3 linked regions of the Cricetulus griseus genome follow. The protein of the gene in region 3 interacts with the protein of the main gene of each other region in a pairwise test. Links are inferred from orthologs where the notes say so. Each region holds a gene or a part of one and is shown on either strand. Other genes may lie near its edges.

Region 1 (4,429 bases), on a different chromosome or scaffold from region 3:
AATGTAATAACATACTCAATATTTATACATAATTCCAGTTGAGAGAGTATACATAACTAATACATTAAGGATACATGGTGCTTTTAGTTCCCCAATATTGATAAAGATTTTAATCACTCATTTCCAAACTACAGCAATAAATTGATTGTTTTGATGCCTACAAAATTAATTGTATTGAATTGTTCTTCAACATGAATGATATAAGGAACAACCCCCAAAGTCCCCTGTTAAATTTAAGGATATTGTTGGCAGTGTTTTCCCATTTTTAAGAATTCCTGAATAGACTTGGCATGGTGGCACTCACCTTTAATCCCAGCACTCAGGAGGCAGAGGCAGGAGAATCTCTGTGAGTTCGAGTCCAGCCAGGTCTACAAAGCAAGTTTCAGGACCATCAAGGCTGTTACACAGAGAAACCGTGTCTCAAAACAGAACAAAACAAAAAATTTCCTGAATTAAAAAGAAAATTGCTATATTTTTAGACCCAGGGGAAATTGTGCTATTCACAACTCATGGCTTTTCATTTTGCATGTTAACTATATTGGGTTCTAGAAAGACCCACTCCTGTGTATTATATACAATTCCTTTTCATGTATTCATCTAATCCTTCAGTTTTTGGTTTGGTATAATTTAACTTATATGTAATTTTATGCCATTATAGCTTCCCAAAACTCAACTTAGTTGAGAAATTAAAACAGCAGCAGCAAGAATTCTGCCCCCCACCCCCTGAAACTAGTACTAGTACACTGTAACAAATGGAAAACTTTTTCTTTGGTATAGGAAATTTTTCCTGTTCAATAGCTGAATGACCAAATGACACAAGCAGAAAAGACTGCAAGGGAACAAAAAAATTTCAAGATTTCTATCAGCTAAGTTATACATGATCATAGTTCATAGGGAATTATTCCAGGTTTCAAATTGTCTGAGTACATATGCCTTGGATTTTCAATAGCAATTGTAATGAATGCGGAGAGGGACTCAGCAGAGATACAGGACCATCTTCATACTGGATGCTTTCACTCAATTGTATTATTACTTAAAATCACCAATGTTACAGATGCACACTCTGGAGTCTGCGTCTTTCTAGCACATGGCTCAATATCCTGAAAGAATTTAATACTAGAGCCTAGTAACTTTAAACACACGTACTGTACTTGTTAAACAACATATTTGCTAAAGAAAAAATACTTCACTATGTTTGAACCATACAATTTCCAAGCACCCCCCTTGTGGTTTTCTCAGTATTTTTATCTTAGCTTTGTACACTGTAGTCCATATGTATATAACCAGAAGAAGACACACAGTGCTGGCATTGAGATATTACCTATGGGCAGTATATGTAGCACATTTTTATAAATATACTCTCAACTATGCTGTTTTAATCACAGGTAGGAAAGCCCTTGGATAAGGGAAGTGAAGGACGCTAGTACAATATGTTTTTCAAATGTAGTAGTAAAAGTAGATTTATTTTGGAATCATTAATCACAGATGTCTCACCTTTATTATTCCCTAGAGGAAGGATTTAATACCCCCATCCTTTATTTTCCATTATGGCATACCACTTGTGTATTTTACTCACAACCTATTTGTTTTCTGTTAATCAGAAAGAAGCATGGTTGCACTGTAAACATACAAAGCACTTACTTTGCTTGTCTGCTAAAGAAAAAAAATAAGGCCCGGGAATCTGTTAAATAACTGTCTTGTTAAGTTGAAGAAACCAAAAAATTCAATATTATTTATTGAATGAAATATAGCAAAATTAATATACATAAATTTCAGTTGGAGCAAGCTCGAAGGCACACTAAAGTAAATGTCTGAAGGAACATTTCATGCAAAAGTCGAGGATGACTAGGGGGTGATTAATGAGAATAAAATTATTGACTGTGTCAGAGCCATGATATGTCATTTAAAAAATTCATTTCCTATTAACACATTGCCAGAATAAATCTGATGTCCTCTACCATTTTTCTGTCTGACATATGACATACATTTGATGCTTCTGAGTTATTTGACAATATTTGGTATACATTAGTCATTTCTAAGAAAGGAGATGGTATATGATTATCAAATTATAATCTTGATACTGTATGCCCCACCAATTATTTATTTCTTGCATTTTCATTCTAGGCTGTAGTAGCTGAGGAGTCATACAGAACATATACATTACTTTTGGTACCATAAACCTGAAATCAGAGAATACTAAATTGATACATTGTAGAGCATCAGTTCTCAACCTGTGGGTTGTGACCCCTTTGGGCTCACATATAAGTTAGTATACATGTAAGATATTTATACTATGATTCATAACAGCAGCAAAATTACAGTTACAAAGCAGCAACAAAATAATTTTATGGTTGGGTGGGCTCACCACAATATGAGGAGCTGTATTAAAAGGTCACAGCATTAGCGAGGCTGAGAACCATTTCAAGGTCTGTATTTTCATGTAAGACTATAAAATAAATGCACTCTCAGAGACACCACTAGGTGTGGTTATGCTGGTTTTGATCTAGCGTCATAAGACGTTTATTTCTTTGGTGGAAGAAGAGAAATGAAAGTAGTCCCCAATAGAAAATGAATGTCAGCAGGATTTTCACATTTAGCTTGGAGTTTACAGCATCTTTAAACAAATCAACTCATACCTCTTCAATCTTCTGCTGCATGACCTTCCACTGACTTTCCCATTCTTTTCTTTCATTATCAAACTGGTCCAGTAATTCCATTTTTTCCTTATGCCAGTTGGTCTCTGTGTTCTCCCACTGCTTATGCAGGTCCATGGCAACTGTGTGAGTGTCAGCCAAAGGGTTTCTGCTCATCTCTGCCTTCTCTCAGCTGTTTCTTGGAAGTGTGGAAGTGTTTGGTTTGAAGTGGTCTCACTTGCCTTTTAAAATAAAGCCTGAGATAAACATAAGAAGACAGAGTCCCAAGTTCACGCGCTTTGTGGAAATATTTTGTTAAGACCCAATGACATAATTAACTATAGAAAACTAAACAGGAAAGAAGCAAGATCCTCCCCAGGTCAAGTGGAAGGACTGTACCAAGACCCAAAGTAGGTCATCTCAGAAGACTAGTGTCTTAACTACAAACCATGCAAATATTAAAATGAAAAAAGATCATTATTTTCCTTTCTTAAGTCAAATCTCAAGTATTATCATTATTCTGTGAGACACATCTTAAAACTTACTCATGGCCTCTCTTCTTTCACCTGGACTATACACGTCTTGAATAATAACTATAGGAAACTGAAGAGAAGTTTTCTTATGCTACACTAAGTAGTGACCAAAATGACTTGATTTCTAACATTCAGGATATTAATATTTCGGGCTTGATGAGACAATTTAAAATCTTGGACTTAGGGGCTAGAAAGATGGCTCAGACCTCACAACTGCATACTGCCCCTACAGAGGGGCCACATTTGGTTCTCAGCTCCCTTAGTGGGTGACTTACAACCACCTGTAACCCCAGTTTCAGGGAATCCAATATCTTTTTCTGAATTTTGTGGACACTTGCACTGACACGTGCACATATCCTATCCCCAAATATACACATAGTTAAAATTAACCTTTAAATACCAGATATATAATTCTGTTATAAGCTTTGATATTTTTTACACTAAAGTGAGGATATCCATAGCATTATTATGAACTTTAGATAGTATAATAAATACACAGTAATTTGAGAAATTAAAAAATACTTTGGACTTTAAAAATCTTGCTTTATCTGAAGAAAGTTTTTATCAATAAAATCATGTATCTTTGGAGTGAATAGAAAAGCTTATTGGTAATGCACCAATTTTATTTAAAATAACTGTGCCAATAAGAAACAGAGTTATGGGTAACTTGGCAGGCTCACATGATTAGCTTGTCAAGGGCCTGGGATGAACTCCAGCACATACATGTATGCAACAATGTGTGCATGTGCATCCACACACAAGAAAGAGAAGAAAACAAAAACCAAACAAAACCCAAACTCTGATGCTTCATTTTACTAATACATGGTCATAATGCTATACCATTTTCTGTTACTGATGCACGAATTTGCCAATAGTCAGTGTTGTGGTGTTCCTGGAAGAACTAAGTCTGTATGATTATGTAGCAAGAACAAGTTTGCACTCGCCAAAGACAGATGCATATTTCACACCCCATATATTATATGGCAATGAAAGATTAATTTTGTCAGGCCTTTCCAGTTAAGATAGGAATGAATTATTATAGACTAGAAGGAATTAGAAACATAACTCTGTATGCAGGCTCTGCTTCTTAAAAATAAAGAAACAAACAACAAAAAAAGTCTATTAATGGTAAGATCTATATTTTCTCAAAAACATTTGCCATAGTTTTTGCATATTTCCTTGGCACTCACAATATCATTACTGATTCAGTTAGCAAAAGTAAACAATTTCAAATTTAGTTACAAACATGCTCTCATGACCCCT
Region 2 (2,625 bases), on a different chromosome or scaffold from region 3:
GTAGCTTTGCAGCCTGTCCTGGCACTCACTCTGTAGACCAGGCTGGTATCAAACTCACAGAGATCTGCCTGCCTCTGCCTCCTGAGTGCTGGAATTAAAGGTGTGGGCCACCAATGCCCAGCCCTGAGCAAGAATCTTAATGTGGTCTTTCTCGCTTTGTGTGTTCCTGCCTTCTAAATCTTCTAGATTAAAAATTGGATCAAAATACTGGGTTTAGAGCCAACCTTCATTCCACAGTCCAGCTGAACAGATGTATGACAGACTGACAGAGCCTTCTGCCATTCCTGCCCTGTTGTCTCCTCCCAGGCCAGCCTTCCCTGCAGCCAATCACAGAGTGATCCTCCCTCACCCCACCAGCACTTCTGCCTGGTGGGTTGCTGAGGGGGCAGTCCACATCCTGGACTGTGGTGCAGGGGTTCCTGCACTACCCTCCAGGAACACTTTTCCTTCCTTGACCTCCAGACATCCTTCTTGACATCCATCTACCCACCTCTTATCCAGGTACCTTTAGCAGGTTCCTGCTTTGTAAATGAAGGCCATGCCTGAGCCCCAGACCTCAGGGCTCCTCTCCTGTCTCTTCACCTATGGTCACACCCAGGACTGCTACCGTATTACTTTCTGTAGATGACAACTCCCAAACATAAGGCTCTAGCCTAGTCCTTGTTCTGAGACCTGATTATACACCCTGCTTCCTTCTCTGTTTCTCCCCTCTTACACCTCACCTGGAAATTGTAGACAGAAAATGTAAGAGTCCCCAGTAGCCATCCTTAGTAAAGAACCACTAGGCCAGGTGGTGGTGGTGAATGCCTTTAATCCCAGCACTCGGGAGGCAGAGGCAGGTGGATCTCTGTGAATTCGAGACCAGCCTGGTCTACAAGCGCTAGTTCCAGGACAGTATCCAAAGCCACAGAGAAACCCTGTCTCAAAAAACAAAAAACAAACAAACAAAAAAAGAATCACTAGTGACACATTTCCCAATGTCCTTTACAGTTGGAGCAATTTAAATGTTGTCCAATGAAACATGTCTGGAAATGTCTTGTGAAACTCCTTAAAAATGTTATCCTTACTTCTCTTTCTCCACTGTTTGCTCATGTATGCAATGGTTGGCATCTAAGCAGCCATTTTGCACAAAGTTAGAACCAGGCGCCAAGGATGGCAGAATACAGTGGCCACAGAACTTCTCTTCAAGCTTGAGATTGCTTTGAGGACTGATTACATACAGATTGGATTCTACCTTGTTTAGAATGTTTTAGCTTGTGCTTTTTGGTGTTCTTTTCTTTTGTCACATCAGGCAAACCTAATCCCACAGATGTCTGGTGGACATTACACAGTTAACATATGCAAAGTTGTGCTCATGAGCCCCCACAACCCGAGTGCCCCTCCCACCAACTTCCCATCTCTGTAGACACAAGTTCCATCCTCCAAAGGCTGTAGTCATCCTCTGCTCCACACATCATGTGTGACCATTGTATTTGGCTCTTGCCTGCCCACACCCCCATGGGGAATATCCTTCTGTATGTTGTGAATATATGTTTTTCTTATTGAATAAAACTGTTCTGGCCAGTGGACAGGCAGAATGGAGCCAGGCAGGAAGTATAGGTGGGGCTACCAGAGTAGGAGAGTGCTGGGAAGAAGAACAAGAGTAAGTCAACAGGAGACATCATGTAGGGAAGGTAAGACACTCAGGTATTCTATGATAAGCCAACACCACATGGAAATACCTATGTATTAATAGAAATGGGTTAATAATTAAGAGAGAGCTAGCTAATAAGAAGCCTGAGCTATCAGCCAAACAACTTATAATTAATATAAGCCTCTGTGTGTTCATTTGGAACTAAACAGCTGTGGGACTGGGCAGGACAGAAACTTCCATCTACACCCCCCCACACACCAGAATGAAAACTGCCGTGGTAGAGGATTTCTCAAAGTGAGTATTGACACAGGAGCTGGGTGTCAGGGCAATTCAGGGGCACAGAGGTGGCTCTGAGGCCCAGGAGGGGCTCACCAACTTTTCCTGGATTTGTTGCTTCTGAGTGTAGCGTATTTCTTCCAGTTGCTCCGGGCTCATGCCCTTCCAGCGGTAAAGGACCACTTGATGAGGCCCAAAGGAGCTGGTTGCCTGCTGTGAGCTCTCAGTCAGCAAGTCGCTATGCAGCAGGTTGGAGATCTCAGTCATGTTGTCCTCTTGCTCTTGTTGCTTCTCTTGCCTCTTCCTTTCTGCCAACTCCATAGCCTGTGCAGAGAAGGACCTTGGAATACCCTGGAGTGACTTTAGGGTCAAGACCTCATCTGGGCCCTGGCTGCAGGCTGGAGACTATCAGAGCTCTGTTGGGCAGTGGCTGGGCTTTGGGGCATTCCCCACCGGTGTGTGTACTACTATGGGTCTCTGCATCAATTTGTCACAGCAAGGAGCTTCTCCACTGGCTCATCTCCAGTATAGGGCAGTGTATATCCTAAAAACCTTTGGACATCTGTAGGCCTCTACCACAAACTGCCACAGTGGTGACTTCTAAAGGGAGAAGCATACGACTGCCTCAGCAGTCCTGACAGTTTCAGCATAGCCCCCATTACAAATGAATTCCTGTCTGGTGAACACCTTTAATCCCAGCACTTGGGAGGCAAAGG
Region 3 (4,116 bases):
CCTTGGACCGATACCACTCCTCTGTCTCTTGCATGTTACTGGTGGCCACTGCCTCGTATTGAGTTCGAATCTCTCTCAGGGCCGCTGTGAGGTCTGGCTTGGCCACATCCATCTCCACGTGGACCTGCTGTTGGGCCAGCTGCTCCCGGAGTTCTCGAACTTCCTAATAGGGTAAAAGAAGGGGTATCTCAGGCCCAGGCTACAGCTGGGGCTCTCCCAGCATCACACTTTTGCCTGCCCAGATATGTCACTGGCTCAGGGAAATGGGGCAGCCTTTACTGGAGGAAGTGCATAGCCTAAGCTAATGGGCATGTGCCATTTAACCTTTAACCCTAGCATGTGAGAGGCTGGAGCAGGCAGTCCTCTATGATTTTGAAGCCAGTCTGCTCTACATAGAATGTTCCAGGCAAGCCAAGGCTACACAGTGAGACCCTGTTAAAAAGTAGAAATAAAAACCCTAATGGGTATGGAATGAGAATCTGAGGGCGTCTTCCTCCCAGGGCTGTGTGTTCAGGAGCCAGGCATGAATATGTCCTGCATCCTGGCTCTGAGGTCAGAGAACAGAGGGGTGTGTGTGTGTGTGTGTATTTGAGACAGGGTCTCATGGAGACCAGGCTGATCTCAAATCTTCTGTGTAGCTGAAATTGGCCTTAAACACTTTGAGCTTCCTACCTCTACCTCCCAAATGCTGAGATGGCATGTCCTCAGAGGGGTTTTCATGACTGTCTCCCATCTTCCTGGTGACAAGTGGGGGAGAGGGTGAAACCAGACAGGCTGTGTGACTTTGGGGTGGTTGTTTTGTTTTGTTTTGTTTTTAACTTCTCTAGGATTCAACATCCTTCCTGTTATGAAAGGAGACCACAAGAAGGGCTCACAGAGCTGATGTGGAGAAGAAACTAAAGACCTGGCCTTGTGCTTCTCAAAACATGGTGGTGGGGGAGGGCCTGTGTGCATTTTCCAGGGGTAGGAGACACTGGAAAACACCTCCCTTGGTCTCTCTGTCTTCACTCTTTCTCTTTCATTTTCTTTCTTCCTGACAGTTGGCTTCTCTGTTTCCCTCTCTAAGTATCTATCTGTCCATCTGTCTGTCTCTTTCATTTGAAGATTCTTGTTTGGCCTCCCTCGTTCCACCTGGCCTCACCTCCTCATGGACCTTCCTCAAGAACTGTATCTCCTCCTCCAGCGACTCAATCTTCCTCTCCAGGTCCAGACGGGCCATGGTAGCTTCATCTGCCTCCTGGAGTGGGGAGAGGGCCTTTTTTGACCCCAGAGCCCACCCCACTACAACCTCCAGTTTTGTCTTCTCCCTCCTTGTGGGGGTCTGGGAAGCAGGCAACTGCAGTGAAGGGTTAAGTTCAGGGCCTATGTCTGGGTGGGCAGTCATTAACCCCACCCCCAAGCCCTACCCCCAACACACACACCCCCACCCCAGCTGCCCATCCCTCCCATCTCTCTGACCTGTCTATAGGCAGCCAGGTTGTTCTCAGCCTCCAGCCTCAAATTGGTTTCATCTTGGAGCCTGGGATATGGGACACAGTATGGGCTTAATGCTTTCCTAAGAACTCTTATTAGATCCCTGTCCCAACCTCTATGGAATTGACTGTCATAAAACACTCTCACAGGACCCACAGAGTGGCAGGAGACGTAAGGAGCAGAGGCTTCCTAAACAGAGGCCCTGGCTGAGAGAGTAAGCAGCAGATAAGAGTTTCTGCCTTAACTCATTACTGAGGTGCCTTATCGGGGTTGGTGCACCTGCTCATGCTCGCACAGGCGCATCCACCACCATGTGCACGCTTTACAGACACCAGTGCACCTCCTGCACTATATGGGCACACGAATGTCCACCACTCAGCAAAGCACCATGCCCCAGAGTTCCACCTTTTAGGACAGATTGTATCATGACCTCTCCTTCACAGCTATGACAAAAACTGGTGACAGACAGTCATCGGGGTTCTGCACCCAGGCCTGCCCTTTCTTTCATTCTCTCTATTTCAGAGACCAGAGCCTCCTTGTGGACATAAGCCTTCACTCGTCAGATTCACAGTGCCAAATGAATGAAAAAGCAGAGCACCTGCTGGCTGGTGCCCTCGCTGCCCACACAGCCTTCCCCAGTGTGGAGATGTCCCGCGTGCCAGGCTCCCTGGCAGCAGACCTTTGGGAATCAGATCGCTGAAGTTCTGGCCTCTCCCTGCCTATTCCCATCATATTAGGGAGCAAAGATAGCTCTCCCTTTCCCAGGCATGGGGAAATGCAGCAGCTGAAACGCCGAGCCCTTGCCAGAGTCAGTACCCTTCCTTATAGGCATCCCTCTCGGTTCTGTCTAGCCATTTTCCCTGACCCCCTCCTCACTTCTGCCTCAGGGTGCCCAGGTCCTGTGCCAGATTGTCCCTCTCCACCTCCAACCGGGCACTGTTGGCAGTAAGGTGGTCCAGCCGCAGCCGCAGCTCTCGCAGCTCTGCCTGGTAGACGTCCGCCAGTTTGGTGGGCTCCTTGGCACGAAGCTGGTTCAGCTCAGCTGCCAGTGCTTTGTTTTGCTGTTCCAGGAAGCGGACCTTCTCGATGTAGCTAGCAAAGCGGTCGTTGAGCTCCATCATCTCAGCGCGCTCACTGGCCCGAGTCTCCTTGAAGCCAGCATTGAGAGCCCCGGCCAGGGAGAAGTCCACCCTGGCAGGGAGTGGAGGAGGCATTCGAGCCAAAGAGAAGCGTGGGATGGTACCCAGGTGGCGGCTGGGACCCAGGCCCCTGACCACCGTCTCGGAGGAGGCATAGGAGCGACGTGCAGAGGTGATGCGTCTTCGCTCCATCCTGCCCTGGCCCTGCTGGCTCTGGGGATGTCAGAGTTTTATGGAGGAATGGGCTGAACTGGCTCTGCCCTGACTTCCTGGCAGCACCCCACTGAATAGACTGAGGGGGTGGAGCTGGGCCCTAGCCCAGCTACGGGGAGAGCTCCTCTCACCCCACTGAGGTCTTTGTACTAGAGTCAAGGTTTCCCTGGGCACACCAGCTTGGCTTCACCAGTGATGAAGAAAAACCCCTTTCTGGTAAGATGGGTCAAGAGAGGGCTAGAGTGGCTGAGGAAACAGCCCATAAATTGCTTGCCTGTCAAGCATGAAGACTCAAGTTCTAGTCACAGAATGAAAACAAAAGGTCAGGTCTGACGATGTGTACTTGTAACTCCAGTGCTGGGGAAAGAAAACCAGGAGGATCCTTGGGTCTCACTGATTAATGGGTGAGTTCCAGGTCCCAGAGAGAAACGATGTCTCAAAGAAAACCAAGGCAACAGTGTCTGAGGAACAATACCTGATGCTGACATTTAACCTCAGTGCACATGGGCCCACACAGGAATATCTTGCAATGAACAAGCATTTGTGTGTAGGTGCACTCGAGCATGTGAGCAAACACGCACGCGCGCGCACACACACACACACACACACACACACACACACACACACACGAGAGAGAGAGAGAGAGAGAGAGAGAGAGAGAGAGAGAGAGAGAGGGTGAGCACGAGCTGGGTTGGGTGAGCTGCCCCCTGCTCTTAGCGTCTAGAAGCCAGGGCTACCCTCATTCTGCACTTTTCCATGGGCCTGTGAGATGCTAGGAACTTGAAGAATCTATGCCCTGCCTCCAGGATCAGCCTATATGATAGTTTCCTGCTGACTCCCATTCCCAACAGGTGTCCAGAGTCCTCTCCCTGCCATCCTGTCTTCTCATTCCTGGAGTTCAGGAGTGAAGGGCTGGGCTTGGGGCCCTCCCTATGACTCCAGGGCCAGCCTGGGCCTCTAGCTGTGTGTCTAAGGGGCAAGACAGAAGGAATGCATGAGGACCCTAATAGGGTACAATAGCAGACCTCCTTCCTGAGCCCCTCTTTGGCATCGTGTCTAGCCTACTGGGCCATTTCTTCCTGGTCCAGCTTCCCTTTACTCCTCCCCGAGCCTGGCCCCTGACAGCTCTACAGAGTAGCTATGAATGAGTTGGTTGTGCATGCTGGAATCTTCATTTTTGTAACACCCTGTCCTCCTGGTCACCCCTCATTCTCCCAGGAGATTTATCTTCTTCAAATTTCCACACATCAGGCCTCTGGGGAATCTCTAGGTCTGGGAAGCCAGAATTCAC

Evidence for each region.
Region 1: the proteins of Gfap (region 3) and Kiaa0408 interact in binary tests that used the Homo sapiens proteins (3 or more experiments, as listed by UniProt). The link is inferred for Cricetulus griseus from reciprocal best matches to the Homo sapiens genes GFAP and KIAA0408.
Region 2: the proteins of Gfap (region 3) and Ribc2 interact in a two-hybrid assay, tested with the Homo sapiens proteins (2 studies listed by BioGRID and IntAct). The two-hybrid records come from large-scale screens. The link is inferred for Cricetulus griseus from reciprocal best matches to the Homo sapiens genes GFAP and RIBC2.

Annotation. Positions count from the first base shown.
Region 1 is NC_048595.1:247,808,125-247,812,553, reverse strand, and holds the start of Kiaa0408 (uncharacterized protein KIAA0408 homolog), read right to left. Parts: upstream 2,878-4,429; 5' UTR 2,811-2,877; coding exon 2,637-2,810; intron 1-2,636.
Region 2 is NC_048595.1:381,976,417-381,979,041, reverse strand, and holds part of Ribc2 (RIB43A-like with coiled-coils protein 2), read right to left. Parts: intron 2,234-2,625; coding exon 2,006-2,233; intron 1-2,005. UniProt on the Homo sapiens protein: Microtubule inner protein (MIP) part of the dynein-decorated doublet microtubules (DMTs) in cilia axoneme, which is required for motile cilia beating.
Region 3 is NC_048600.1:115,223,924-115,228,039, reverse strand, and holds the start of Gfap (glial fibrillary acidic protein), read right to left. Parts: upstream 2,805-4,116; coding exon 2,350-2,804; intron 1,520-2,349; coding exon 1,459-1,519; intron 1,238-1,458; coding exon 1,142-1,237; intron 164-1,141; coding exon 2-163; intron 1-1.